Linked DNA regions of Pelodiscus sinensis. The protein of the gene in region 2 binds, or shares a complex with, the protein of the main gene of each other region. Links are inferred from orthologs where the notes say so. Each region holds a gene or a part of one and is shown on either strand. Other genes may lie near its edges. The genes, in order: FRMPD4, GPSM2, INSC and NUMA1.

Evidence for each region.
Region 1: the proteins of GPSM2 (region 2) and FRMPD4 are in contact, whole or in part, in a crystal structure (PDB 4WND), measured with the Homo sapiens proteins. The link is inferred for Pelodiscus sinensis from reciprocal best matches to the Homo sapiens genes GPSM2 and FRMPD4. Residues at the interface, in NP_001307967.1 of Homo sapiens: Leu25, Ala28, Leu29, Glu32, Asp57, Lys59, Thr60, Ser62, Ala63, Ile64, Ser66, Gln67, Asn70, Phe73, Tyr74, His85, Asp88, Ala92, Gly100, Lys103, Asn107, Asn110, Thr111, Lys113, His128, Arg143, Tyr146, Asn147, Asn150, His153; in NP_055543.2 of Homo sapiens: Gln988, Leu989, Leu990, His991, Ser992, His994, Met995, Glu996, Met997, Glu998, Pro999, Glu1000, Thr1001, Met1002, Glu1003, Thr1004, Lys1005, Ser1006, Val1007, Thr1008, Asp1009, Tyr1010, Phe1011, Ser1012.
Region 3: the proteins of GPSM2 (region 2) and INSC are in contact, whole or in part, in a crystal structure (PDB 3RO3), measured with the Mus musculus proteins. The link is inferred for Pelodiscus sinensis from reciprocal best matches to the Homo sapiens genes GPSM2 and INSC. Residues at the interface, in NP_083798.2 of Mus musculus: Asn210, Tyr213, Leu214, Phe218, Arg242, Ser246, Asn247, Asn250, Ile253, Phe254, Tyr265, Gln283, Tyr286, Ser287, Asn290, Thr291, Thr293, Leu294, Arg323, Trp326, Ser327, Asn330; in XP_006507722.1 of Mus musculus: Val72, Asp73, Ser74, Val75, Arg77, Trp78, Met79, Asp81, Leu82, Lys83, Leu84, Met85, Thr86, Glu87.
Region 4: the proteins of GPSM2 (region 2) and NUMA1 are in contact, whole or in part, in a crystal structure (PDB 6HC2), measured with the Homo sapiens proteins. The link is inferred for Pelodiscus sinensis from reciprocal best matches to the Homo sapiens genes GPSM2 and NUMA1. Residues at the interface, in NP_001307967.1 of Homo sapiens: Ala28, Leu29, Glu32, Cys35, Lys36, Phe47, Lys59, Thr60, Ser62, Ala63, Ile64, Ser66, Gln67, Asn70, Ala71, Phe73, Asn110, Lys113, Tyr146, His153, Lys157, Pro164, Gln165, Arg203, Gly206, Asn207, Asn210, Tyr213, Leu214, Arg228; in NP_006176.2 of Homo sapiens: Ser1901, Phe1902, Tyr1903, Met1904, Gly1905, Thr1906, Cys1907, Gln1908, Asp1909, Glu1910, Pro1911, Glu1912, Leu1914, Asp1916, Trp1917, Asn1918, Arg1919, Ile1920, Ala1921, Leu1923.

The regions. Positions count from the first base shown.
Region 1 is NC_134711.1:214,148,780-214,155,828, reverse strand, and holds the start of FRMPD4 (FERM and PDZ domain-containing protein 4), read left to right. Parts: upstream 1-4,041; 5' UTR 4,042-4,675; coding exon 4,676-4,746; intron 4,747-7,049. UniProt on the Homo sapiens protein: Positive regulator of dendritic spine morphogenesis and density. Required for the maintenance of excitatory synaptic transmission. Binds phosphatidylinositol 4,5-bisphosphate.
Region 2 is NC_134719.1:43,946,066-43,953,371, forward strand, and holds the start of GPSM2 (G-protein-signaling modulator 2), read left to right. Parts: upstream 1-4,292; 5' UTR 4,293-4,485; exon of another isoform or gene 4,486-4,565; intron 4,566-6,936; exon of another isoform or gene 6,937-7,055; intron 7,056-7,306. UniProt on the Homo sapiens protein: Plays an important role in mitotic spindle pole organization via its interaction with NUMA1. Required for cortical dynein-dynactin complex recruitment during metaphase. Plays a role in metaphase spindle orientation.
Region 3 is NC_134714.1:109,568,633-109,576,585, forward strand, and holds the start of INSC (protein inscuteable homolog), read left to right. Parts: upstream 1-4,936; 5' UTR 4,937-5,071; intron 5,072-7,953. UniProt on the Homo sapiens protein: May function as an adapter linking the Par3 complex to the GPSM1/GPSM2 complex. Involved in spindle orientation during mitosis. May regulate cell proliferation and differentiation in the developing nervous system.
Region 4 is NC_134711.1:325,289,894-325,297,060, forward strand, and holds the start of NUMA1 (nuclear mitotic apparatus protein 1), read left to right. Parts: upstream 1-4,165; 5' UTR 4,166-4,253; intron 4,254-7,167. UniProt on the Homo sapiens protein: Microtubule (MT)-binding protein that plays a role in the formation and maintenance of the spindle poles and the alignement and the segregation of chromosomes during mitotic cell division.

The DNA.
Region 1 (7,049 bases), on a different chromosome or scaffold from region 2:
GTGGATGTCCAGTTTAGACTTTTGACAATTGAACATCTTTATTCAGAAGTCAAAATTTAGGATGGTTACAACTAGCATCAGTAAGGGAATGTGGTTTATGGCTGTGAAAATAAAGGATGCCTATTTTGATGTAGATAATAATTTATCCCACGGACAGTTTAATTGGTTCTTGATAGATCAAGAACACTACCAGAGTCTTTCCTTTTAGACTAGCAACAGCTCCCAGGGTTTTCACAAAAGTCCACTGTGGCCCTCAATTTTAGTAAGAACTTTCCTCCCCATAGAAAGATTTCAATCAATGAGCAATCTGATATCACATATTACTTGGAAACCAGAAACTACGGTCAGAATACACCTGTATCTACTAGGCCAAATGGCCTCGATGTGATGCCATTTGCCAGACTTCATTTACACTGCCTATAGGCTTGGCTCTGAGCTATCCATCCACTCCCCATACAAGGACTACATGAACGGCAGAGTGACTTTTCTCACTTGCTTCAGGGAGTGACCGGTGTCCTGACCAGCCATGCAGTCTTTTGTCTGGTGAATGGATGGAACAAAGCGAGGCCTTTAGGCAGTGAAATTGGGTCCAGAGTCACTCTAACAAAAGTTATAATCCTTGTGAGGGTCACAGTGGACTTGTGCATGCAACTGACAAGTACTGCTCAAAGATGGAACAGGAACAAAGTCACAAACTTTACCACATTGCTGGAGTGACCTATTTGGAGTCAATCATCCATGTATGAGAAGACTGGGTGGCCATGACATTGCATCTGGGCTGCCACCACGGAGAAAACAGAGACATTTCTTTGCCTGGCCATAACCCAAACCGTCTTCCTCGGACTCTGCAGATATTTCAATCATTTTTGGTTATCTCCTGTCACTGAAGAATTCAGGTTTTTTCCCTTTGCTTATTGCAAGCCCATCAAGCAGTGTTCAGTGCCTTCCTTCATGTAGTAGATAGGCATTCAATTTTTACTCACTGAACAACAAATTCCTGAAGGGCCTAGTCAGGACCTTTCTGCCCGTAATCAAGCCTACAGTTCAATAGGAAGAAATAGAGCTTACTTACCTGCGGCCAGAAATTCTTCCAGATGGGCAGTGCCTATGTGTATTCCATTATCCACCCCATTGCTTTGGATCCTGTTGGAGTCATGCTAAGAAGAGGAATTGGAGAGGTGTTGGCCTATGCTGCTTCTTATGCACTTGGTCTAGAATATAAAGAGAGGGTGCATGTGTGGGCCATTAAACACTGCTTGTGAAGAATCTCTGAACTTGGGCATATAGTGTAGGCATATACCCAACATGTGGAACACACGTAGGAACCAAGCATCTTGAAGGACTCCAATTACAATTAAGTAATCTCTGTTCTTCAAGAGTTATAGATACATTTTTATTAAATTTTCTATTTAGTTTTGATCTTAAAATCAATGGAATAGGAAATGTCTACAAATGAGCTCAAAGCATTGGTCATGAAAAAGAAAAGCAAAAATTCTAAGCAGAGCCTTTGTTTTTCAATCTTTCCACTGAATACAAGTGAACTAAAGCTAGCTGTGTCATATACCTTAATAGCAGTAGGAATTTATGAGTTTCACAGAGTAGTAGTACCTGTTAAAATAAGAGGCATTGAAAACTGCACTACTAGTAACCTTCTGGGTGTGTCTTTAACATTGAGCTGAGCATTTTGAATTTAGTCATGGTCTTTGTTGTTCAGTATACAGGCAGTCCCCGGGTTACGTACAAGATAGGGACTGTAGGTTTGTTCTTAAGTTGAATCTGTATGTAAGTTAGAACTGGCAACCAGATTCAGCAGCTGCTGAAAGTGACCAGCGGCTGACTACAGGAAGCCCGAGGCAGAGTTGCTCTGCCCCGGGCTTCCTGGAATCAGCTGCTGATCAGTTTCAACAGGCTGAATCTGGATGCCAGTTCTGACTTACATACAGATTCAACTTAAGAACCCCAGGCGTCCCCAAGTCAGCTACTGCTGAAACTGATCAGCGGCTGATTCCAGGAAGCCCGGGGCAGAGCAACTCTGCCTCGGGTTTCCTGTAGTCAGCGCTGGTCAGTTTCAGCAGCGGCTGACTTGGGGACACCTGGGGCAGAGCAGCTGGGGCTGAATCAGGACGAATGAATGGGGCTGAATCAGGAGGAGCAGCGGCTGAATCAGGACGCCTGGGGCAGAGCAGCTGGGGTACTGCCTGGTTGGTCCCGTAGCGCCCACTAGCTGTGCCCTTCCCTCCCCCCCCGCCACAGCAGACCTGGGAGACGCGGGCGGCGGACTGAGACGCACCGCGGTCCCGCTGCCTGCGTGCTCTGCGGCTTTGCTCCCCGTCTCCCTGGTCTGCTGGTCTCCAGCAGACCAGGGAGACGGGGAGCAAAGCCTTGGATGACGCTGGCAGTGGGACAGCCGTGGCGCGTCTTGGCTGTCCCGCTGCCCGCGTGCTCCGCGGCTTTGCTCAGCATCTCCCTGGTCTGCTGGGGGGGGGTTCCCCCCCCAGCTGACCAGGGAGACGCGGAGCAGCTTTTCTCGCCCCGGAGTACGCGGGAGGCGGGACCGCGGCTCATCTGCGCGTCCCGCTGCTCCCGTCCTCCGGGGCGAGAAAAACCCCGTTCGTAACTGCGGATCCGACGCAAGTCGGATCCGCGTAACTCGGGGACTGCCTGTACATAAATGGAACTGAGTTCAGGTTACAACCCACCTGTTTGGGAGAACTGATATTAAAAATCTCAGAGGGATATCTGTGTTAGTCTGTAACTTTAAAAACGAATAATCCTGTGGCACCTTAGAAACTTACAAAAATATATATAGTATCATGAGTTTTACTCATGAAAACTCATGATACTATATAAGGTGCCACAGGACTTCTCATTTGTATTAAAAATGGCATTCCGATAAAATGCCAAATCTGGCTCTCATGCAGTCTTGTTGCCAGACAGACCTGAAGAAGAAGTTTATGTAAGCTCGAAAACCTGTCTGTCTCTTCAGCAGAAGCTGATCCAGTAAAAGATATTACATCACCACCTTGTGTCTCTAATAAACCTGGATGTTGACAATATAGGAAAATCAAAGAAAATGGTGCATCCATGTGAATGCACTTAAAAATACACCTCTTTGTTTCTCCTTAGGATAGCTTTCATTTTTGTTTTTAAAGCCTTTTACTTGTGGTCCCATGCATTACTATTTTGACCTCTCTGCTGGCATAAATGACTGAGCAATTGAAAATCAAAGCAACATGGTGGGATTGGTAGATATGCATGGTAGGTAGGAGCCAGGTGATTGCAGTGATAGAATGCAGCATATTAAAAGATGTGATGGGTGAAGAAACTGATTAGGAATGAAATCCGCTTATTATCCAGTGATATAACACTGCCATATTACTCATTTTCTTATTCCATTTTTGACAGTAACTCTAAATTGTTTCTCTTTGTATCCAAGGGTTGACAGAGTGGAGGAGGAAAACTAAAATTACAGCACATATTGCTAATGCATTGTAATTGCTTTAATCTCAGAGAGCTGGACCATCAGGACTTAGATAATGTACTGCTAGGATACTGATGATAGGCTTGGTGGGAGTGCTGAAGCAGAACGTATATTTCCTAAACTTTTGTCATTTATTATAAAAAATATTCTGTAACCTATTTTCCAAGGTCTAAAATGAAGTATTATTATGTGAAGACTGTCAGTTCAGGTAAATGTAACTCTACTGGTAGCTTAGCAAAGACAACACGAAGAACAAAGCAACATTCTTTACGTAAAGAGTGCACTGATTGACATGCCTGCTAGAAATGGAAATGTGCAGTTTTTAAGTTTATTGCCACAGGCTGGCTGGCCCTTTAAGGCTCAACCTTGCCTGTGACGTAGCAGCTAGCTTCCAGCCAATAAGGATGTGCCAATTTAAGGCTAATTAGTGACTCAGTCTGAGAAGGGATTAGGACAAGACTGTACAGGGTGGAGAACTCAATTTGTGGGAGGGGAGAAGAATAAAAAGAAAGCAAAACTTTTCTGTGGGAAGGAGAACGAGCATAGTTCCTTTGAGGGAGGCCCTCCGATAGGTCAGTAAAAGCATTTTATAGGAGCCCACAGGAGGTGGGAGACTTATTAGGTCAGCTGGGGTGGGAGAAGCCCAAGGTTTAAGTAGTAAAGGGAGGCTGTGTTAAACACAGGCTGCAGAGAAGCAGCCAAAGGACCTTACAGGTAGGAAGCGGCCCAGGAAAACAATAGCATGTCTGAAGGAACAGTCTTAGGTATTTAATGCAGGATCTTTGGGCTATGTTCCCCTACCAGCCCCTGAGAACAGGACATGCAACTGCATAAGCAGATGACGGCTCCTGTGAGAGAGGACCTGAGGGAGGGTCAATGAGAACACTGAATGTCACCCAAAAGAAAAGGAGTGGAAGAATTATTATTTGGACTTCACACCTTTGAGTTCTAGTTGGACCCTTTGTTATGCCACGTGTGATTGAGCTTTAAGCGAATTGGCTAATGGGCCAAACCATGGGAGGTGCAGTGAGAGGCAAACAGCCAGTAGGAGGTTCCGGAGACAAGGAAGACACTGTGGGTGATGAGTACATCACCTACATGAAAATATGCTCACTTCAACTGGATGCCGTGAGTCTTTGTCTGGCTGCAGAAACAAAGAAGGTGAAACTTTCTTAGGGAGCAGCACTCAAAGGAATGAATTGTAATGAGTGGGGAAAGAGAACACACCTGGACAGAGCCTGGTGGAAAGGACAAGGCAGGAACAGGTATGGAAAAACAATAGCCCAACAATCTGGAGAGAGGGGGGCGGATCTTTATACCATGCACCATGGTAAGAACTCTTTCTGTCTAGGGCCAACAACACCCACCCGTAGGATTAGTATAAGGCCAGGTTTGTATGTTAAGGATGGGCATTTCACTAGTCACTTGTTCCTTTGGGGGCTAGGAAGGAATCTTTCTTGCTCTTCTATCTTGGCCACATGGAGGTGCCTTCCCCACAGCTGGTAGGGAAGGAAGTTAGGCCAGATGATGAGTTTAGCAAGTGCCCTAGACAGGTAAACAAGCTATGGAAGGGGTCGTGCGGGAAGGCATTCCCTAAGAAAATTGGAGGAAGTAGGGTTGGGTAGTGTAAAGTCTGATACTGCAGGAAGGCAACTTCCTCTGCTTTTCCCTGAGTCTCCCCCGTCATACCATGGAGACTGACAGGGTCCCTTGAAAGAATCGTGTTGAGAAGAGTGAGGGCTGATGGCAGCCCTCCCAAATAAGTACAAATGATGAAGGAAGTAATGCTGAACTGAACAGAATGATTATTGCCACGTGTTCCCAGGTACGTTAAGTGAATAAAATTACAATCTAATTTAACCAGATCCATCCGTGGGCTTGGGACAACAATGTAATCCGTAGACATATCTTAGATAGATCAAGATATGTCACTGTTTCTAGTGTTTGGATACTTAGTTTCAATTTGTTCTCTGATATGAATGTATGCGCAAGTAAATATTAGTAACTTAAAATGAAAGGGAAAATATCATTTTAATTTGATCTTTTTCTAAATCATAAAATTCCATGCTACTGCTGAACCCTCCACGCTACTGCTCCCCCCTCTCTCTTTAAAGCTTTAACTAAGACCACGTTTCACCACATTAACATCAATACACTCAAAATTGTCAAAATGACCATTAGCCCACTATGTGTGACGCATGAGCATATCTCTGTATTTTATACAGTACTTTACACAGCTCATGTTACGGAATTCATTATGGTGCTTGGTTTAAAATGGAGGAACATATTTCAACCTTATTTGTATATGGCGTAAGGAAGATTTTACTTCTACAAAGCAAATGTCACATATGCATTTTTAATATAATTTGCACTTTTGATCATTATTGTTTTAATATGTAATAAAAATAAATTGTCTAAATCGCCAGTAAATTAAATACAGCCTGGAGCAGGGCCAATGATCAAGCAGAGGGCCATGTGGGGGAAAGTGACAGCACCCACCTCACATTGGCCCTGCTTCTCTGTTTATTATCCAAAACATACTACAGCTGTTGCTAATCAAAACAAGAAAAAACCCTAAGAAATATTATGATTTGTAAAGTAATATCTGAAAGACTGCAATGGGCTTTTTCTAGTTGTGGTTTTGACAGTCTTTGGAAACAGCGGGCTGATTTAGTGATCTGGTCTTTTAGTAACATTATCATCAAATCATATCCCATGGAAGTAGGATTAGAATCTGTCTGACAACATACCATATATTTTGACTGCCAAGATAAGGAGAGGTCAGGTAATGAAGGAAGTAGCTCCGCAGTGAGCTTTAAAAAAGCTATTAATCGTGTGCTCAGATGATTTTTTTACAGACTGTATAATTTGAAGGAAAAAATATAATTGTTCATTACTACAAAGTACTGTAAACTTAAAATGCACAATGAAGCAGTTTGCTCACAAGACTCACACATCATCCAGTGTTACCTCAAGTGTTTTATTTAATGCTTTCTCTGAGACTTATTTGGGCAAGTTGCACACTTATGAATAATTTTATCTGCCGTTATTTTTAAAGGAATCCTAAAGACCACTGGCATACACATCTAAAATTAAAGTTATCTGATGTGTATGATTTTGAATGCAATGTGAGTGATGCGTGGGGGATGTTATGGCATAACTTAGCACTGCGCTATCTTAGAATTAATTTTGCACGGTCAGGCTTAGTTAAAATTACATTGTCAACTTAAATCACGTTTTGGTCTGCAAATATTTGCCTGTGATTTTAAAACTGAAAGAAGATAAAATGATTTCTTTATTTTTTTCAGTGTATTTGTATCTTGCTTGTTTTGACAGCATTTTGTGTAAATGTGCAAATTTCCATCTCTTTCTCTCTCTCTCCTTTCCCTTCAAAGCTTTCTTCTTTATTCTTTGATAACTTTCTGGGAAACTTCTTTGGAGCTTCAGTTTTCCAGCACCAAATACCAGAGTAGCTATTGAAGGAGATTTCTTCAACTGATATTTGAGAGTGGTTTTATGCTTACGGTGAAATTTTTCCTTCTGAAAACCACCCTTGAGCTAGTGTTTG
Region 2 (7,306 bases):
CCCCCCCATACATCTGTTTCTTAGGTTCTTCTTCTGCTTGCCTACCTCTGAGGGACTGCAAAGCATTTCCACTGTGAGCTTTGGTTGCTCTATGTTTGGACACCACAGCACTCCCTGCAATGGAGCTGGAGCTGCCTCTGGGCATGTGACAGCCCCTGACTGTGCTGCAGTTTCTTCAGGCTGCCCTCCATGCCCTGCAGGAACATGATCCCAAGCTGTGAGAGAACGTGTCTGGGGCAGCTCTTTCAGGCACACCCCACTGTGGAGCACTGCTTCTGGTGGCTAGACACCAGTTCCTACTGGTAGGGCTGGCTAATGATGGAGCGGTGGGACGACCAACAGTGGCTCCAGAACTCTGATATGAGAAAGATGATGTTCCTGGAGTTGTGTGCCTGGCTCACCCCAGCCCTCACACGATGGGAAACACAAATGAGACCCACCATCTCCCTGGAAAAGCAGGTCACCTCATGATTTGGAAGCTCACCACGCCTGAAAATTTCTGATCTGTTGGATATCAGTTCAGCATGGGGAGCCTTCCTACAGGGCTGGGGGGCAGAGGCCAGCCAGGAAGGAAGGATGTTTGAACAGCCGTGCACAGTTGCAATCCTCCAGGCCCATAAAGTGGAGGTGCTCATCTGGAAGGTCCTGAGGGAGAGTTTCTTTCAAAGACCCCAGTAACTCTCCCTAGGACCTCCCCACTAGGGGCCTGGGCCCACTGTACCTTTCCTACCACAATCCTTCCCTTTCCTGTACAATCAATAAAGACACCAGTTTTGAGTTGAAAAACAAAACCTTTGTATTTTTTCATAATAAAAGCCACTGGATGGGAGAGGGTCGGGGGAGAGGCTCAGGGCTGGGAGTGGCACGTGGTATGCCTGGAAGTGCTGCTGCTAGAGGGACTCTAATGTTATAATGTTGATCTGTTCGTAATGTTTATAGTGCAATTACTGTGTACAGAATTTGGGTAAGGTGCACACTTAAAATGGCGATTGTCATCAGTGACTGGAAAACATGTTGTTTAACTTTAATCTGGACTGAGTTTTCTTGTGAGGAAAAATCACTGGTGACAGATACAGTGTCAGGGGATCTCCCTTCTGGTAACCAGAGCACTTAATATCTTCGATCAGATCCTTATCCTAAATTCTAAATTAATTCAAAAGATTCTACTTGTTACTGAGACTCTGGGGTAACACCGCCTTGGGTCCAGGGACCTCAGCAGTGTGTGGGACCTGGGACAACGGGAGGGGAGGGAGGGGGGAAGTGCACAGGCAGCCAACTCTGACACAGTGAACCTCCATTTATCAGGATTAGCTCCCTCTGGACCAGGGGCTGCGAAAGGCCCCTCTGGGCCAATTGCTGGTGCAAAGGCAGAAAAGTGTGACACAGTGAACCCCCATCTATCAGGATTAGCTCCTTCTGTAACCATAAATGGATAAATGGATGGGTAGCAAAAACTGAGCAAAGCAGAAACTGACATACTAATATGTCAGTAACTGCTACTGGGAGCCGATTGTGAGCAACTGCTTGTGACGCTACACTGGCCTGATGCTGCTCCGCTTTTCTCTCTCAATCACCACCCGCCTTGGATGGGCGATTGTCTTCATGCCTTCAGCCATAGTTTTTCCCTTTGCCTTCTGCAGCAGGTGCGCTTGGTGGGCATGTCTCGCAGTGAGGTTTTACCATGGGCAAGCCCAAGCTGCTGGCTTTGAGGGGTCATTGTCTCTCTACAGGTAAAAATCACCTTGCAGGGGGTGGAAGTGCTGGTTGCCAGACTGAGAGGAGAAGGGCCACCCTGCTGGCCAGGCAGGCGGCATTTCTTTTTCTCTGTGCAAAAAGGTGGTGGCGGCAGCAGCGCTGTCCCCATTGGGGCCCAGTCTCCTGCGTGACAGGCAGGGATATTCAGCACTATCCTAATAAGAAAAGGAAAATGGCAGACTAGCATTATAGCATTGAGGTGATTGGAGAGTTTATGGATGGTGCTTTTTGTTCTATGGGCTTTGCACCTGTCTCCACAGGGAAATGAAAAGGGAAATTCTTCCTCCCCTGGCGGGGGGTAGTGGAAATGCGGAAGACGATTGTGAGGTCGAGGAAATTAGGTGGTGTACCACAATCATTCCTTTTGTGCCTGCATTTTCTTACAGGCCTGGATGCTCTAGGTAGCCATTTGTGCTTTTTGCTTCTTATTATTCCTTTGTTATTCTCAGAGAGTTAGCTGTTTGCTCAAGATGGTACAGTGTAGGAATGCACCTGGTATGGGAGTGCAGGAGAACTTGGGAAGATCACATAGCTATCTTTGCTGAATGTTTCCCACCTGAGAATGCTAATTATTTGGCCTGGGAAAAGTACCAACAAGCTAATTATTGTTGGTACCAACAATATGCAAAGTACCAACAAGCTAATTATTGGATGTGGAAAAATATGCAATGTATCAATGATGTGCCCGGTGGGGTGAGGGGGGAATGGAAAAGAAAATCCTTCCTTCCCCTCACTTGTGCCTGGCAGGAATGAAAGGGGAAATCTCTCTTGCCCTGGCGGAGCTAATGCACGGCGAGCAAAAGGAGCCAGGGCCTGAACTCGCGGCCTCGGCATTATTAGCACCACACGGTAAGCAACTGAGCTAACTGGCCAGTGAGAGCAAACGTGTTTCCCACGTTTTAATTCCGGCAAGCTCAATGCTCCCCACTTCCCTGCACCAGGACAGAGAGAAAGCGGCTCTGCTCTTCGCAGGGCAGTTTCTGCAGCATTTTCAAACCTGTGGCAGCCCGTGCCCGGAGGGAGCCATTAGCACGTGCAGGGCAGTTGGAGTCTGAGGTGCAGGCCAGGGAGGCACCTGGCACGCTGCTCCAGGATGCGACATGCGGGGCAGATAATCAAAAGGGGGACCAGCGGGGGAACCCTCCTGGGCACTAGAGCTGGCGCATGGGTGGGGCGGAGTTAGTGGGGCTCGAGCTGCCATAGGGGGCAATAGGGACAGTAGTGCGGGTAGGTCACTCTGCCAGCTCCACTAACCTCAGCATGAGACCCACAACTACTCATGCTAGCACTGCACGTATCCCCCACCCGGTCACTGCCGTGGGCCTTGCCCACAGTACTCCGCATGACATCCGACACACATCGGCGTTCCCTTATTGCACAGGCGCCAACGTGCACCTGGGGGGGGGGGGAGGGCGGAGAAGAGTGCCCAAAGCTCCACTAGTCCCCTTGCCGGTGGTAGATACACCCTTTGAAAGGGTAGCACTGGACCTGGTTGGACTTCTGGAGGGTGGGGATACCCCAAGACATCCTAACGGACCAAGGGACAAACGTGTCCAGCTGAGTAATGGCCGAGTTGTGCAAGTTGTTGGGGGTGAAAAAGCTCTGGACTACAGTCTACCACCCCCAAACAGACGGGCTGGTGGAGCGTTTTAATCGTACTTTGAAATGGATGCTGAGAAAATTTGGAGGGCTGGACCCCAGAGCCTGGGACCTGTTCCTGTCAGCCCTCTTGTTCACTATACGGGAGGTCCCCCAGGCCTCTACCGGGTTTTCGCCCTTTGAGCTATTATATGGCCGACAACCATGGGGTATCCTTGACCTCTTGAAGGAAAACTGGGAAGAACAGGTGGCAAGGCGGGGAGCACTTCTCTCCTTCCCACAGCTACTGGGGCTCAGGATGGTGGAGTAGCCCTCAGGAGACGCTCGCCTTGTCCACATAGGTAGTGGCACCTTCACAAGTGCAGCTGCACCTGTCAGTGTAGATAACTGGTCAGAGAGGTGGACTAAGAGTAGGAAAGGAGAACCCCGCCTATGGGGATAGGTGGCCGCTGTACGGCAGGCAACAGCCCTGCCGCAAATCTCCCTCCCCAGGGGAAAGGGACAAGCCCCCCCCCCCCCCCGACAAGCTCCTTACTGTCCCGCCCACAGCTAGAGTGGAGCATGACCACGCCCCCAAATCCACTGAGGAACGGGGCCTGCCACTCAGCCCTCCTCCCTCCATTGCGGGAAGCACCACCCCTCCCCCCTTGCCTCCTGGCTCCCCCTCATTCCCCGGGCGGCCCCACACGAGGCACCTCTTCCCCTCCCCACCGCACTGACTACGCGACCTCCCGCCCTAGAACAGGACCAGAGCCCACTCAAAGCCCGGCCTCCCATTGGCCAGCTCTGCCCGGCGTCAGAACGAAAACGGTAAGGAACTCTTGACGCACGCGCAGAACGCGACAGTGGCGGAGCCGTTGGGTTTCCTTGCCACAGGGGGAGGGGAACGACATTGGTGTAAGAGCGTCGGCGAAAGCGGCGCCTGCTATTGGCGAGTTCGAAGTGGGTGCGCAGGGGGGGTGGAGCAACGTCTGTTGGCAGCATCGGGGTTCCCCCCCCTTCTTGCGCTGCAGCGGGTGTCGCTGTGGGGTTGGTCAGTAGCGCGGTGGGCGGGGTGTTGCTGCGGGGGTGTGCGAGACGGGCGATCGGACCAGGAGGAGTCCGGCAGCTGCGGGCGACCCCAGTACTGAGGTGAGGCGAGGCCAGGCCAGGCCTGGGGCGGGCGGGGCCGCACTCCGAGCCCAGCAGCCCCGGACAGAGCGGCCCTAGGGGTGAGACGTGGGCAGCTCGGGGCGCTGCTGGGGCAGTGTGAGGTGTCGCGTGGAGAGTTGGGGTATCGACTGTGCAGGCAGCAGCTTTGGGGGCGCCAAGGGGCAGTAGGTGACTCAGGGTATCGCTGAGGGCAGGTGTGGGGGGTTGAGCTGGAGCGGCCGCTGAGAGGGGTATCGATTACTGGGGGGGCGAGCTGGGGGAGGGGCAGACGATGGGGGTGCGAGCTGACTGGAGGGAGGGGGTGTCGAATACTGGAGGTGGGGGCTGGCTGGAGGGGTGGGGGCTGAGCCGGGGGTGTCGAATACTGGAGGTGGGGGCTGGCTGGAGGGGTGGGGGCTGAGCCGGGGGTGTCGAATACTGGAGGTGGGGGCTGGCTGGAGGGGTGGGGGCTGAGCCGGGGGTGTCGAATACTGGAGGTGGGGGCTGGCTGGAGGGGTGGGGGCTGAGCCGGGGGTGTCGAATACTGGAGGTGGGGGCTGGCTGGAGGGGAGGGTGCTGAGCCGGGGGTGTCGAATACTGGAGGTGGGGGCTGGCTGAAGCGGGTCGTTGACTGGTTGGGGGCACAAATTAATGAAGATGGAGGTTTTCTGCATGTGGGGTGCTAAGCTGTGAGGGATCAGTTAGGGAAAGGTGATGAGTTGAGGGGGGTGATATATGCAAAGAGATGTGTGATGCTCTTGGGGTAGGGGTGGTGAACCCAAAACGGATGCATGTGCCAGTGGTTGTGGGCATGAGAGCTACTGTTCCTTGTGGATTTTATCCCAGTCCAGCACGCTGATATTCCTTTCCACACAGAGCAACATGCAGGGCTCTTGCTCTAGAAGAAATAACTAATTAATTTCTCTGCAGTAGTGATGTGAGGGACTGGTTGCTTCCTCCCCTCCCCCTTTGCTGCCTCTATCAGAAAGAGGCATCAAGAGGGGGACAGGAAGGGATACGAAGGGGGTACTTGAAAACAGCAGTGCTGCTTGAAACCTGGGCCAGACCAGGTGTCCCCAGGCTACATGCGGCATTTCAAAGCGACAGTGCCGTGGAACCGCTGATCTCGGGCTCTACATGATGCTGCCACTTTAAAACATTTTAGGGAGCCCAGCATGAGGCTCCTCCCAGTGTTTCAAAGAAGCAGTGCTGCCTGGAGCCTGGGATCAGCTGGGGACTCCCCCACTTACCCTGGGCTCCATGCGCTGTTGCCATTTTGAAACGCTGCAGGGAGCCCAGTGTTCAAAGTGGCAGCACCGTGGGGAGCCCAGGATCAGCTGTAGTCCCCAGCAGACCCTGGGCTCCCTGCACTGCTGCCCTTTTGAAACTCTGTTGCGACGTTTCAAAGGGGCAGCAGCAGTACAGCTGAACCCGGGCTCCACGCTAGCACCTGCAATTAATGCATGTTAATTTTTGTAATGTGTTAATTCTGCCCTGTGTTAATCGCAGGCATTAACATGCGTTAATTGACAGCCCTAATATGGTAGTATTCCCATATGCAGAACCTTCTCTGATGTTATTTCCTGATTTATTATACTCAGTGTTCATCCATCTAATCTTGGAGATGACATATGGTCTTCATTTATGCATCCTGATATGACTAATTTAACTGGTGTGTAGCAAGTCCTGACTGCGATGGAGCTGTCCCTGTTAGATACTCCCACTGAGTCAGGGAGCATGCCAGTGCCAGCCCCTCTCGCTCACATAGGTTGTACTGTGCCTCTCCCTCACTCGGTGTTTTGGAAGCCTGGGCGAGCGGCCTCAGATTTCCCCCTTTCTTCTGTAATAAGACAGTCCCCAAACTAACAAGAGCAGTAGGTAATTCTAAGTAGAACGGAGTTCCCTTTGTGGATGAGCTAGCGCGGGTGCTGTCACTAGTACTTGTTCTAACCTCTTAAAAGTCTCCTGCTCCTTTTTTCCCTACACTAAGGGTTGTTCTTTTCTCAAGAGCCAGTGAAGCAACCTTGTTAACCTTGTGCAATTTTCTATACAATTTCTGGAGAGTCCCAAGGAAAACCATAGGGCAGAGATCTCTTGGGGAATGGGGAGTTTGGTGATCAGGTCTGCCAGGGTTAGCCCCTGGATGGCCCCACGCTCTACTGTATTTATCTGCACCTCCACAGATACAACTCCTGTTGGCCATGGATTGCTGTTCCCAGCCAATGGGATCTGCGATTGCCCATACCTGCAGTGGTGCAGATAAATATAGTGGCAGCAGCCCACCAGGAGCTAACCCTGGTGAATTGCTGCCATTTTATTGCTCATCCCTGGGCTGGAGTCTGGATGCTGAGACTGAACGTCTATATTGCTATTTTTAGCTTGCACAGTGAGCCTGAATAAGTTGACTTACATGCTAAGACTCACTGCCACGTTATTTTTTCTTCTGTGTAGACTTGTCTCCAAAAATGAAATTTCTCCCATTGGAACAAACGCCACATTGCCTGAATCCCTTTAATCTTAGAAAATCTAAACCCATATGAACGCCTAAGGTACTTTTACACACATCTAAGGTACGTTTACAGTGCATGCTGAGCCTTCCATCCATCCATAAATCAGTCTAACTTGGGGTTAGTAAGTACTCAGGGCCCAGTCGTAGGGTACGTCTAGACTACAGGGTTTTGTCGACAGAAGTTTTGTCGACAGATACTGTCGGCAAAGCTTCTGTCGACAAAGAGAGTCTACACTACATTCAGTTCTGTCGACAAAGCAAGCTGCTTTGTCGACATGGCAGTGTAGACGCAAGGACAGTTTACATGCAATA
Region 3 (7,953 bases), on a different chromosome or scaffold from region 2:
TTTGGTGGGATAATACACATGATTGGAATGTTTGTATAGAAGGGTCCAGCTTGCTCAGGAAGGATAGACAGGGAAAAAAGGGAGGAGGTGTTGCCTTATACATTAAAAATGAACACATTTGGAGTGAGGTGGAGGTGGGCATAGGAAACAGAAATGTTGAGAGTCTCTGGGTTAGGCTAAAAGGGATTAAAAACCAAGGTGATGTCATGCTAGGAGTCTACTACAGGCCACTTACCCAGGTGGAAGAAGTGGATGAGGCTTTTTTTTAAACAACTAACAAAATCATCCAAAGCCCAAGATTTGGTGGTGATGGGGGATTTCAACTATCCAGATATATATTGGGAAAATAACACTGCGGGGCACAGACTATCCAATAAGTTCTTGGACTGCACTGGAGACAACTTTTTATTTCAGAGAGAAAGCTGTTCTAGATTTGATCCTAACAAATAGGGAGGAACTGGTTGAGAATTTAAAAGTGGAAGTCAGGTTGGGTGAAAGTGATCATGAAATCAAAGAGTTCACAATTCTAAGGAAGGGTAGAAGGGAGAACAGCAAAATAGAAACAATGGATTTTGGGAAGGCGGATTTTGGTAAATTCAGAGAGCTGATTGGTAAGAGACTGAGAGGAAAAACAACTGAGGAGAGTTGGCAGTTTTTCAAAGGGACATTGTTAAGGGCCCAAAAGCAAGCTATTCCGATGTGTTGGAAAGATAGAAAATATGGCAAAAGACCACCTTGGCTTAACCACGAGATGTTGAATGATCTAAAAATAAAAAAGGAGTCATATAAAAAATGGAAAGTAGGACAAATTACAAAGGATGAATATAGGCAAACAGCACAGGAATGCAGGGGCAAGATTAGAAAGGCGCAGGGGCAAGATTAGAAAGGCAAAGGCACAGAATGAGCTCAAACTAGCTATGGGAATAAAGGGAAACAAGAAGACTTTTTATAAATACATTAGAAGCAAGAGGAAGACCAAGGAGAGGGTAGGCCCACAAGTCAGTGAAGAGGGAGAAACAGTAACAGGAAACTTGGAAATGGCAGAGATGCTCAATGACTTCTTTGTTTCGGTCTTTACCGAGAAGTCTGTAGGAATGCCTAACACAGTGAATGCTAGTGGAAAGGGGGTAATTTTAGAAGGTAAAATAAAAAAGAACAAGTTAAAAATCACCTAGAAAAGTTGGATGCTTGCAAGTCACCAGGGCCTGATGAAATGCATCCTAAAATACTCAAGGAGCTGATAGAGGAGGTATCTGAGCCTCTAGCAATCATCTTTGGAAAATCATGGGAGACAGAAGAGATTTCGGAGTACTGGAAAAGGACAAATACAGTGCCCATCTATAAAAAGGGAAATAAGAACAACCCAGGAAACTACAGACCAGTTAGTTTAACTTCTGTGCCAGGGAAGATAATGGAGCAAGCAATTAAGGAAATCATCTGTAAACACTTGGAAAGTAGCAAGGTGATAGGGAACAGCCAGCATGGATTTGTAAAGAACCAATCATGTCAAACCAATCTGATAGCTTTCTTTAATAGGATAACAAGTCTTGTGGATAAGGGAGAAGCAGTGGATGTGGTATACCTAGACTTTAGTAAGGCGTTTGATACGGTCTCGCATGCTATTCTTATCAATAAACTAGGTAAATACAACTTAGATGGTGCTACTATAAGGTGGGTACATAACTGGCTGGATAACCGTACTCAGAGAGTAGTTATTAATGATTCACAATCCTGCTGGAAAGGCATAACAAGTGGGGTTCCGCAGGGGTCTGTTTTGGGACCGGCTCTGTTCAATATCTTCATCAACGATTTAGATATTGGTATAGAAAGTACGCTTATTAAGTTTGCAGATGATACTAAGCTGGGAGGGATTGCGACTAATCTGGAGGATAGGGTCATAATTCAAAATGACTTGGACAAATTGGAGAAATGATCTGAGATAAATAGGATGAAGTTTAATAAAGACAAATGCAAAGTGCTCCACTTAGGAAGGAACAATCAGTTTCACACATACAGAATGGGAAGCGACGGTCTGGAAAGGAGTACGGCAGAAAGGGATCTAAGGGTTATAGTGGACCACAAGTTAAATATGAGTCAGCAGTGTGATTCTGTTGCAAAGAAAGCAAACATGATTCTGGGATGTATTAACAGGTGTGTTGTGAGCAAGACACGAGAAGTCATTCTTCCGCTCTACTCTGTGCTGGTTAGGCCTCAGTTGAAGTATTGTGTCCAATTCTGGGCACCGCATTTCAAGAAAGATGTGGAAAAATTGGAGAGGGTCCATAGAAGAGCAACAAGAATGATTAAAGGTCTAGAAAACATGACCTATGAGGGAAGGCTGAAGGAACTGGGTTTGTTTAGTTTAGAAAAGAGAAGATTGCGGGGGGACAAGATAGCAGTCTTCAAGTATATAAAAGGGTGTCATAAGGAGGAGAGGGAGAAAACTTGTTCATCTTGGCCTCTGAGGATAGAACAAGAAGCAATGGGCTTAAACTGCAGCAAGGGAGGTTTAGGTTGGACATTAGGAAAAAGTTCCTAACTGTCAGGGTGGTCAAACACTGGAATAAATTGCCCAGGGAGGTTGTGGAATCTTCATCTGTGGAGATATTTAAGAGTAGGTTAGATAAATGTCTATCAGGGATGGTCTAGACAGTATTTGGTCCTGCCATGAGGGCAGGGGACTGGACTCGATGACCTCTCGAGGTCCCTTCCAGTCCTAGTATTCTATGATCTTATTTTATATTATAGTGAGACTCAGTGGGAGAATGGGGGAATATACTTGGGATGCTATTTAATAATAATAAATACTAATTAATGTGATAATGGCAATATCATTACCCAAACAGGTATTAGACCAGTTTGAGGTCTTGAGTATTTGTTAATGATATGCTAGACCTCTAAGGGCCTATAGCTACTGTGAAATGATCACATAGGGCATGTCTATTTTGAAATAACAAGGTGAGCGCCCACACAGCAAGCCTGTTATTTTAAAATTATTTTGAAATAATGGACTTTTTATTTCAAAATAAACCTGCATTTCATGATGATTAATGCTTATTTTAAAGTAGCTATTTCAAAATAGTGGTGGTATGGACGCTCCACTGCTGCTATTTCGAAATAAGTCCTCCCCAGGCCCTCCTGGGCCTCCAAACTGAGGTAGCATGTCCACATTAGGGGAGCCTGCCTTAGACTAATTTCGAGGCTCCCCTGTAGTGTGGATGTGCTATTTTGAAATAGTTATTTCGGGAGTTATTTTTCCAAAATAACTTATTTTGAAATACCCAGGTAGTGTAGACATTCCCTTAGTGCAGGCATGTCCAAAGTCCGGCCCGCGGGCCAATTGCGGCCCGTGTTCTGGTTTAATACGGCCCCCGCTTCCTCCCCCTCTCCTGGCTCCCCGGCGCTCTTTTGAACTGGCGCGCCCAGCGGCCGCTTCCGGCCACGCTGCCGCCGCCCATGGCCTCCGCAGTCCTAGAGCCTGCCCTGTAGGGCACGTCCGCAGCCCCGCTCCCCCGCTCGGCTGCGGGTTCGCCCTGCCCCCGGGCCGCCGTGTCCTGCGCTCTCCGCCTGCCTCCGACCCCGCGGGCCCTCCGCCTTGGGGCTGAGGGTGCGGGGACGGCCCTCACGCATGTTCACTTCTTCAAATCTGGCCCTCTTTGAAAAAAGTTTGGACACCCCTGCCTTAGTGGAAACTCTCTGAATGGTCCCATTCACATGAAGCCATAATTACACCTCCTCACAATCACTCATTTCTAATATCCTCAGAGTCATTGCAGTGTTTGAGGAGTGAAGAATTCCTTTATCTTTAAAGCAGGAAGGACCTTGGAACCTTTAAAACCTATAGAACATTTGCAGACTGGCAAAAATCTTGATTGATGGGAAAGGCTCTGAGGCATCATCTTTGTCTGAAAGAAGCTGAAGTGAATGTATGTCACAGTAGCTGCTACAATGCACTCTTTTTACCAGAAAGAATTCGAGAGAGAGAGCGCGAGCCTCCGCCTCCAAGGAAAGCTCAGCTATAGAAATCTGCTTTGTATTTTAATATCATTTCCATGCTTTTATTTTATAGCTTGTTCCAACAATTGTTAATTCTTATTCAGGCCAATTTTAATTCTTCAAAAAGTATGTTTTAAAAAAATTGTTCCCACCAACATTGTTGAAAATGTTTAGCAGGTGGAATAGCTCTGATGCTTGTAAAGCAGGGTTGAGCAAATCAGATAAAATAAAATATGAATAAAATTTGTCCAAAAGCTTTCAGCCAAAGTTTTTCTGAAGTGTCAGTAAATTTAAATATTTTTTCTGAATTCTTTTTTCATTTCTAGGTGCATCTAGACTTTCAGTCTCCTGCCTAGATCAGAAGGAGAAGAGTCAAACAACACAAATGTATGGAACTTATTCCAAGTTCCTTTGCAGCAATTGTTTTTTTTTCCTTTTTAAGACAGAGCTTTTATTTAATTAAATGTCTGTTAGCCTTTTCTAATTATTACATAACAACGAGAACCTGCTGTAAGCATCAGGTAGGTACAGCTTCACCCGGAAGTTCAGAGCTCTATCTTCCAAAACCTTTTGTCTTTGTAGCCACATTCCACTACCTTAGACAATGACCAAATATGCGACCAGGGTCATTTCAACATCCATGTAACCAGAAACCTAGCGCGTGCTAATGTCAAACCTTGGAGTTATAACTAGGTAAATAAAAACCATTAGAAGATAAAGAAGTTAATATGAATATGCTTTATTAATTTGTAAAAGTGTAACTTTATTAAAACCATAACATTTACACTGCTGGTTTCAATGAATTTGAACCTGAGAAACTGAGAGTGTAGCTCAGCCCTCCAGGGAAGTTACTATTTCTTTAAATGATTTGCTGATTGTGAGCTGTAGTGTGATGCAGGCAGAAGAAGAGAGATCACAGAGCTGGTAGCTCAGAGAGAGGATGAAGACAGTGACGTGAAAGCCATGTGGCTGTGAAAGGCATTGCGCTGGTTTTTGTTCTGTTCTGACTAACTTAATTGAAGAAAGCGTATTTTGAGTGAATGATCCCATTCTATGTGCAAAGGAGAGATAAATCGTGAGTAAATAGAGCTAAAAATGGGGAAACTTTAAGAACTGAAATGATATGTGACTTCTACTGCAAGAAATCTTTGTAAGGAAGAGACTGAAGACCTTAAATATCTGGGAAACAAAAATGAGTTGGTTTTAACCAAAACCTGTAATTTACTAGATTAATGGTCTGCAAAGATATGGTTTAGTACTAAGAGAAGGTTGGTAAGTTAGAAAAAAAAAAAGAATATTGTTCAATGTATATTGACTTGTCTAATTATATGTAGGACTTATTTCCTTGAGACTAAACTGCTTTAAAAAAACAGTATTGGGTGTGTCTGTCTAAATGCATTTAATGTTGGAAACATGTAATTTCCACATATGGTATCATTTAGTTGTTTTAAAAGGAACAAAAACAAATGTATTTTTTAAATACAGTTACGCCTCTCGCTCCCTTCCTTACTTGATAAACATGCAGAAGCGCATTTCTACAGATGATGTCAGATTATATCTATAGTGATATAAAATTAACATTTGGCATTTAAGGTAACTGTTGTCTATCATTTGTTTGTGTGTAGTTGTGAGGGGAATAAAAGAGACTGAATAGTTACCTGGGGACAAATCCTGAGTGCTACACATGGCTTTACTAACTTTCTTAAAATTTCTGAGCTCACTGCCTTCATTAAAATTGGGAAGCAGACATGGAATTTTCCAAATTAGGTCCTAGATGGGAATTTTCTTGTATGCCACATTCTATTAGAGTCATTGCTTTTAGGGTGTAACAGAGAGCCCCAGAAGCTGGGAGCAGGGGCCGGCCAGGAGTCTGGTGGCAGAGTGGCTGGTAGCTGGGAGCAGAGCCAGGTTGGTGGCTGGGGCCTGGAGTATAATCGGGGTTGGGAGCACATTCAGGACTGGGAGTGTTGCCAAGGCTGGTAGCCACGGTTGGTGCCGGTACTGAGAGTGTGGCTGGGCCCAGCAGCTGGGGCCAGAGCTGGAGGTGTTGCCAGGGCCAGCGGCTGGGGCTGGTGGCTGGGAGTCTGACGCTCCACCCTGGGCAGTGTGGAGACTGGCAGCAAGGGGCCAGAATTGACCTCCCCAATCTAAATTCCCTCATTATGGACCTGTCCAGTCCCAAGGTTGCTAAGGGAGGTCCAACCTGTAGTAACAGCAGTTGGAAGACTAGGTAATCATTCACTTTTGGCAGAGTGCAGTGATTCAAATTTGGTTCTCTATGTTGCTCTCTCTGTTTCTTTGAATACTTTGGAAATAGTACTGACTGGTCTTCCAGCTGACCATGGCCAAGTGCATATTCTTCCAGAGTCAATCAGGTGATGGGTGTGAGTGAGGTAAAACTGTTAATTTTTAAATGGACAGAGTGTCATTTACAACAATATCTGTCATAGTATTCCATATTCTGCTATTCATCCTACATCACTTTTGAAAACTGGCTTCAGAATCTGGCAAACATGAAGAAAATAACATTTTTCCTGATGCAGGTATATATGCTGGTGTCCTATAACAGGGTGTACTGCACAGTACAGATGTGTCCAAAGCCAAACACTGCTGTTACTGTCTGTGCCTGAGGACTGACCCATTCTGTGGGTTGTAATTCCCAAAGAGGCTGATGGGAATGTAGCAGTGAGTGGAAAGGCCTACTGGGAAGTGGGATACAAGGCGCAGCTATTTCCCAGTGTGGGAGAGAGCAGCAGCTTGCCGACAGAGCTCTCTCAGTGACTGAAGTATAGGAGGAAGGCCCAGAGGCAGTACTCCCAACTGAGACAAAAGGAGAGGAGGAGGATGGAGAGGCCTAAGAGAAGGCCTTGCAAGCAATATAGTAAATAGCAATGGACGGGGAGAGGGAAGAATGAAGCAGTTAAGTCTGAAGCTGGACTTGATGAATCAAGATGATCAAAGGAATGGAATGTCAGCCATATGAGCAAAGACTGAAGGAGCTTCAGTATGTTTAGTTTGGAAAAGAGAGGATTAAGGAGGGATGTGATAGCAGTCTTCAAATGCTTGAAAGGCTGCTATAAAAATGATGGAGAAATGTTGTTCTCTCTTGCCACAGAGGGCAGATCAAAAGACAATAGGTGCAAATTACATCATAGAAGATTTAGATTAAATCTCAGGGGAAAAAATGTAACTGTGATAACAAAGACAATGGACCAGACTACCTAGGGAGGTCGTAGAAGCTAAAGAGGCCATCTGTTTTGAATGGTTTAGATACAACCCCACCTGTATCTTGGCCAGGAGATAGACTAGATGACCCTTGTGGAAAGGCAAGGGGAAAAAAAAGAGCTCAAACTAGTTACAGGCATAAAGGGAAACAAGAAGACATTCTATAAATATATTAGAAGCACGAGGAAGACCAAGGACACAGTAGGCCCATTGCTCAATGAGGAGGAAGGAACAGTAATAGGAAACATGGAAAAGGCAGAGATGCTTAATGACTTCTTTGTTTCAGTCTTCACCAAGAAGTCTGATGAAGAAATGCCTAACATAGTGAATGCTAGTGGGAAGGGGGTAGGTTTAGAAGATAAAATAAAAAAAGAACAAGTTAAAAATCACTTAGAAAAGTTAGATTACTACAAGTGACGAAGGCCTGATGAAATGTTTCCTAGAATACTCAAGGAGCTGATAGAGAAATGGTCTGAGGTAAGCAGGATAAAGTTTAATAAAGACAAATGCAAAGTGCTCCACTTAGGAAGGAACAAGTTGATCTGAGGAAGTGGGTCTGGCCCACAAAAGCTCATCCCCTACTAAACCATCTTATTTGTCTTTAAAGTGCTGCATAGTCTTGTCTTTAGTCATCTAAAAGGAAGCCACTGACCAGTGAAGAAACCGAGGCATAGCTGCATCCTGACAGCAACAATTAAGGGGCCTGCTACACAGCGCTCTACTATTAAGCAG
Region 4 (7,167 bases), on a different chromosome or scaffold from region 2:
AGGACCAATTTTTGCAGACCAGATACCAGTTTTGTATCTGCACAGGGCTCCACCATACTGTCCATTGCCTGGGAGATTTGTAGGCTACCAGCACTTTAAGGTACTCTGATACCAGGGTGAGGACTGAGGAGGTCCATATAAGAACCTGTCTTGCCTAGTTATGGGAAGAGCTGCCATGCTTTCCGTTCAGTCATGCCAGAAATGGATGCTGCTTCATCATAAGAACATAAGAATGACCACACTGGGTCAGACCAAGGGTCCATCTAGCCCAGTGTCCTGTCTGCTGACAGTGGCCAATGCCAGATGTCCCAGAGGGAGGGAACAGAACAGGGAATCACCAAGAGATCTCTCCCCTGTCACCCATTTCTAGACTCTGACAAACAGAGGCCAGGGACACCCTCCCTGCCCGTCCTGGCTAATAACCATTGATGGACCTAACCTCCAGAATGTATCTAGTTCTTTTTTGGACCCTGTGAAAGTCCTGGTCTGCACAATTTCCTGTTTGCTTTTTTGATGGCTGCTGCACACTGTGTGGATGATTTCAGAGAACTATCCACAATGACTCCAAGATCTCTCTCCTGAGTAGTTGTAGCTAAATTAGTCCCATCACTTTATATGTGTAGTTGGGATTATTTTTCCAATGTGCATTGGTATCGATCAACATTAAAATTCATTTGCCATTTTATTGCCCAATCATAGTTTTGAGAGATCCTTTTAAAGCTCTTGCCAGTCTTCTTTGGTCTTAAGTATCTTGAGCAGTTTAGTAACCTTTGCAAATTTTGCCACCTCACTGTTTACCCATTTCACCAGACCATTTAAATAGGTTAAATAGGATTGGTCCCTGTACGGACCCTTGGGGGCACCACTAGTTACCTCTCTCCATCAGAAGTGAGGCCCAGGGAACCGGGAAGTTGACTGCAGCTGCACACCCAAGCTGCTGCCTGCACAGAGTTGCACACCCAGTTCACAGAGCTGCACGCTCTGTGACATCATAGATTTATATTTACAGCACTGTGATTTCACATGGCATGCCCTTGAATAATTAGTATGCTCAGAACCTGGCTTTTCACACACACTTTGTTCTGGCATCGCCTTTCACACTCATCAAGCAATTACCTGGATTTTCACACACACACTCCAGTGTCCTGCACAGATTTTCACACCCACTAGCCTCAGAGCCCACTTTTCAAACTCACTAGTGTCCTGAAGATTTTGACGCCCACTAGCTCCAGACATCTTTGTTCACATTCACCAGAGCCTTGCACAGATTTTCATGCCTACTAGTCCTGGTCCCCTTCTCTCACACACACACTTGCAAAGATTTTCACAGTCAGTAGGGGCTGCAGTGTTCTGGCCCCCAGTGGCTCTATGGCTGTGTCCCGACTCCATGCCTCCGTCGACGGAGGCATGTAGATTAGCCAGCTCGGAAGAGGGAAATGAAGCCGCGATTAAAATAATCGCGGCTTCATTTAAATTTAAATGGCTGCCCCGATCTGCCGATCAGCTGTTTGTCGGCAGATCGGGAGAGTCTGGACGCGATGCCCCGACAAAGAAGCCTTTCTTCATCGACACAGGTAAACCTGGTTTCACGAGGCTTACCTGTGTCGATGAAGAAAGGCTTCTTTGTCGGGGCATCGCGTCCAGACTCTCCCGATCTGCCGACAAACAGCTGATCGGCAGATCGGGGCAGCCATTTAAATTTAAATGAAGCCGCGATTATTTTAATCGCGGCTTCATTTCCCTCTTCCGAGCTGGCTAATCTACATGCCTCCGTCGACGGAGGCATGGAGTCTGGACACAGCCTATGTGCTGCTGCCCCCGCTAGGCAGAAGCAGCAAGCACCAGGAAGTGCCATCTGTATGCTTGCCTCACCTGAAGGCTCTGCCCCCATAGCTTCTATTAGCAGAAATCCACAACCAATGGGAGCTGCGGGGAGGAGGAGGGGGGGTTGCTGGCAAGCACAGGGCAGCGCATAGAGCCACCTGCTCCCTCCCCTCCCCAGGGCCTGCTCCACTAGAGGGGAGCTGCCGCAGGGAAGTACCTTGCATCCCAACTCCCTACCTGGCCTGGCCCTGAGCCCTCTACTGCATCCTAACTCCCACCCAGACCCCACATCCCTATCCCCGGAGCCCCTCTCCTGCATCCCAACTCCCACCCCAGCTCTGAGCTCCTCCTGCACCCTAATTCCCATCCCAGACCCCACACCCCACCTCCTATCTTAATCCCCCTCCTGCACCCTAACTCCACCCAGACCCTGAACCTCACCTCCTGCCCCGGCACAAATTCCTGTCCACCCCCACCTCCACCTTCCACACCTAACTCTCGCCCAGACCCTGCATTCCCATCCCCACCTCTTGAGCTGAGTCTGTTCCTGCACTCCAAAACCCCTTGGCCCCAGCCTGGAGCCTCCTTCTGCATCCCAAATCCCTTATCCCCAGCTCTACCACAGAGCCCTCACCCCCTCCTGTGCCCCAACCCTCTGCCCCCACTTGGAGCCCCCTCTTGCACTATGAACCCTTCATTTTTGGCCCCACCTAGAACCTAGGGAGACCCACAAAATCTAATAGCCCTGGGCCCCAAAAGAGTTAATCCATCCCTGTCTCCAGACTTCTCTTTTCACACCCACCAGAACCCTGCACAGATTTGCACACCCACTGGTTCCAGGCATCTCATTTCACACCCACCAGAGCTCTGCACAGATTTGCATACCCACTGGTTCCAGACTTCTCCTTTCACACCCACTAGAGCCCTGCACAGATTTGCACACCCACTGGTTCCAGGCATCTCCTTTCACCCGCACCAGAGCCCTGTACAGATTTACACACCTACTGGTTCCAGACTTCTCCTTTCACACCCACCAGAGCCCTGCACAGATTTGCACACCCACTGGTTCCAGGCATCTCCTTTCACACTCACCAGAGCCCTGCACAGATTTGCACACCCACTGGTTCCAGACTTCTCCTTTCACACCCACCAGAGCCCTGCACAGATTTGCACACCCACTGGTTCCAGACTTCTCCTTTCACACCCACCAGAGCCCTGCACAGATTTGCACACCCACTGGTTCCAGACTTCTCTTTTCACACTCACTAGAGCCCTGCACAGATTTACACACCTACTGGTTCCAGACTTCTCCTTTCACACTCACCAGAGCCCTGCACAGATTTGCACACCCACTGGTTCCAGACTTCTCCTTTCACACTCACCAGAGCCCTGCACAGATTTGCACACCCACTGGTTCCAGACTTCTCCTTTCACCCCCACCAGAGCCCTGCACAGATTTGCACACCCACTGGTTCCAGACTTCTCCTTTCACCCCCACCAGAGCCCTGCACAGATTTGCACACCCACTGGTTCCAGACTTCTCCTTTCACACTCACCAGAGCCCTGCACAGATTTGCACACCCACTGGTTCCAGACTTCTCCTTTCACACTCACCAGAGCCCTGCACAGATTTGCACACCCACTGGTTCCAGACTTCTCCTTTCACACCCACCAGAGCTCTGCACAGATTTGCACACCCACTGGTTCCAGACTTCTCCTTTCACACCCACCAGAGCCCTGCACAGATTTGCACACCCACTGGTTCCAGACTTCTCCTTTCACACTCACCAGAGCCCTGCACAGATTTGCACACCCACTGGTTCCAGACTTCTCCTTTCACACCCACCAGAGCCCTGCACAGATTTGCACACCCACTGGTTCCAGACTTCTCCTTTCACACCCACCAGAGCCCTGCACAGATTTACACACCCACTGGTTCCAGACTTCTCCTTTCACACCCACCAGAGCCCTGCACAGATTTGCACATCCACCAGCCCCTGGCCCCTCTTTTCACACTCAGTGCAAACATTTTCACACTCACCATCTCTGCTCCTCTCTGCCCCCCTATCTGGAACTCGCGGGGTCGCTATGGTAACCAGCATCACAGCAAAAATTCCACCCCGCCCACACTCCGCAAGGCGCGCTGGGAAACGTAGTTGCCGGGAGGTCTTTGGGAACCACATTTCCCAGGGGGCCTGGTGGCGAGAGTTCCCTCACCTCTCGCGGGATCCACTCGGGCCTCACCGCCCATGGGCTCCTGGGAGTTGTAGTTCCTCCCCTCACGTGATCGGCGCGGGCTGACGCGCGCCCGGCCTGCAGCCAATAGGGAGGAGGGAATGGGGGGCGGCGCAGCTGTTTGAATCGGTGAGGGCCGCGGGGCCGCGCGGGGGGAAGCTGCGGGACTGGGCCGCGCCGCTTCGGGCAATACGGTAAAATACGGTAACGGGGGCCGGGGCCGCGCCGCGGGGGCGCTCGCCCCACTGGGGGAGGAGGAGCTCGGGATGGGGGAGCGGGGGCGGGGTGAGGGGGGGAACTGCGGGATGGGGGAGTTGGGGGGCAGTGATTTGGGGGGCGGGGTGATGGGGGGGAAGTGCGGGATGGGGGACTTGGAGGGGTGGTGATTTGGGGGGCGGGGTGATGACGGGGGAACTGCGGGATGGGGGAGTTGGGGGGGCGGTGATTTGGGGGGCGGGGTGATGATGGGGGAACTGCGGGATGGGGGAGTTGGGGGGGCGGTGATTTGGGGGGCAGGGTGATGATGGGGGAACTGCGGGATGGGGGAGTTGGGGGGGTGGTGATTTGGGGGGCGGGGTGATGGGGGGGAAGTGCGGGATGGGGGACTTGGAGGGGTGGTGATTTGGGGGGCGGGGTGATGACGGGGGAACTGCGGGATGGGGGAGTTGGGGGGGCGGTGATTTGGGGGGCGGGGTGATGACGGGGGAACTGCGGGATGGGGGAGTTGGGGGGGCGATGATTTGGGGGGCGGGGTGATGGGGGGAAGTGTGGGATGGGGGAGTTGGGGGGCGGTGATTTGGGGGGCGGGGTGATGGGGGGAAGTGCGGGATGGGGGACTTGGAGGGGTGGTGATTTGGGGGGCGGGGTGATGACGGGGGAACTGCGGGATGGGGGAGTTGGGGGGGCGGTGATTTGGGAGGTGGGGTGATGGGGGGGAAGTGTGGAATGGGGGACTTGGAGGGGTGGTGATTTGGGGGGCGGGGTGATGACGGGGGAACTGCGGGATGGGGCAGTTGGGGGGGCGGTGATTTGGGGGGCGGAGTGATGGGGGGAAGTGTGGGATGGGGGAGTTGGGGGGTGGTGATTTGGGGGGCGGGGTGATGGGGGGAAGTGTGGGATGGGGGAGTTGGGGGGCGGTGATTTGGGGGCGGGGTGATGAGGGGGAACTGTGGGATGAGGGAGTTGCGGGGCGGTGATTTGGGGGGCGGGGTGATGGGGGGGAAGTGCGGGATGGGGGACTTGGAGGGGTGGTGATTTGGGGGGCGGGGTGATGACGGGGGAACTGCGGGATGGGGGAGTTGGGGGGGCGGTGATTTGGGAGGTGGGGTGATGGGGGGGAAGTGTGGAATGGTGGAGTTGGGGGGGTGGTGATTTGGGGGGCGGGGTGATGGGGGGGAAGTGCGGGATGGAGGAGTTGGGGGGGCGGTGATTTGGGAGGTGGGGTGATGGGGGGGAAGTGTGGAATGGTGGAGTTGGGGGGGGGGTGATTTGGGGGGCGGGGTGATGGGGGGGAAGTGCGGGATGGAGGAGTTGGGGGGGTGGTGATTTGGGGGGCAGGGTGATGATGGGGGAACTGCGGGATGGGGAGTTGGGGGCAGGGTGATGGGGGAACTGCGGGATGGGGGAGTTGGGGGGGCGGTGATTTGGGAGGTGGGGTGATGGGGGGGAAGTGTGGAATGGGGGAGTTGGGGGGTGGTGATTTGGGGGGCGGGGTGATGGGGGGGAAGTGCGGGATGGAGGAGTTGGGGGGGTGGTGATTTGGGGGGCAGGGTGATGATGGGGGAACTGCGGGATGGGGAGTTGGGGGCAGGGTGATGGGGGAACTGCGGGATGGCGGAGTTGGGGGGCGGTGATTTGGGGGGCGGGGTGATGATGGGGGAACTGCGGGATGGGGAGTTGGGGGCAGGGTGATGGGGGAACTGCGGGATGGCGGAGTTGGGGGGTGGTGATTTGGGGGCGGGGTGATGACGGAACTGCGGGATGGGGGAGTTGGGGGGCGGTGATTTGGGGGGCGGGGTATGACGGGGGAACTGCGGGATGGGGGAGTTGGGGGGCGGTGATTTGGGGGGCGGGGTATGACGGGGGAACTGCGGGATGGGGGAGTTGGGGGGCGGTGATTTGGGGGGCGGGGTGATGATGGGGGAACTGTGGGATGAGGGAGTTGCGGGGCGGTGATTTGTGGGGCGGGGTGATGACGGGGGAACTGTGGGATGAGGGAGTTGGGGGGGTGGTTTGGGGTGGCTAAGAGGATGGTGTTGAGAGGGGGCTAAAGGGGTGCGTGGCCTTCGGGGGTTACCTGTCCCCAGACAGCTGGGTCCCTGCAGCCTGTCTCTTCTGTGCTCCTCTCAGGACCGTGCTTGAGGAGCTGAACTGCTCCCGTCCTGACCTGCAGGCGCCCCCAAGACACTGCAGTCCCTGGTGTCAACCTTGGACAAGTGCCTGCCCTTCCACCCATGGCTGGCAGGGAAACTTCCTGCTGTCATTTCCCTGCCAGGCAGCTATGCCCTGCCAGCAAGGGGCAATCAGTTTTACTCCTACCCGCCTGCCTGGCAGCCAACTGCGTTTTCAGGGGATTTCCCCCCCAACATCTGCAAAAGCTGGCTGAAAATACCCCGTTCTGTGGTCTGTGCCTAGCCGGATAAAGCTTGTGGAGTGCGCTTGGCAGAGACGTGGCAGAGGCTGCGGGTTGGCTTGGTCTGTGTCATTCTGCAAGTGTGGACTGCGAGGAGGGTGTGAGTGTTGTTGAGCATGAGTTTGCTGGAGTAGCTCCATGCACAGGAATGGACAGATGTTATCCACACTTCTCCTGTGCAACTTCATGGTCTGAGAGGCTCCTCTGTTTTCTTGAATGGCTCCAATTTAATCTGTCCAGTAAGCTGTCCTTGCTTTGAGCCACTCCACCACGGAAGGTGCACCTGTCGTGCACCTGACACTCCTGTACTTTTGGCCCCTCACCCTTTCTCCAGATTGTGAGCATGTCTGAGATGCCAAACAGTCCCTGAGAAGGGGACTGTTGTCTCTCTTCCTAGCATGATTTTAATTACTTGGCAAACTACTTGCCTGTACCTCTGTCAGGAAACACCTCAAGCATTATTTTGAGTGATTCTC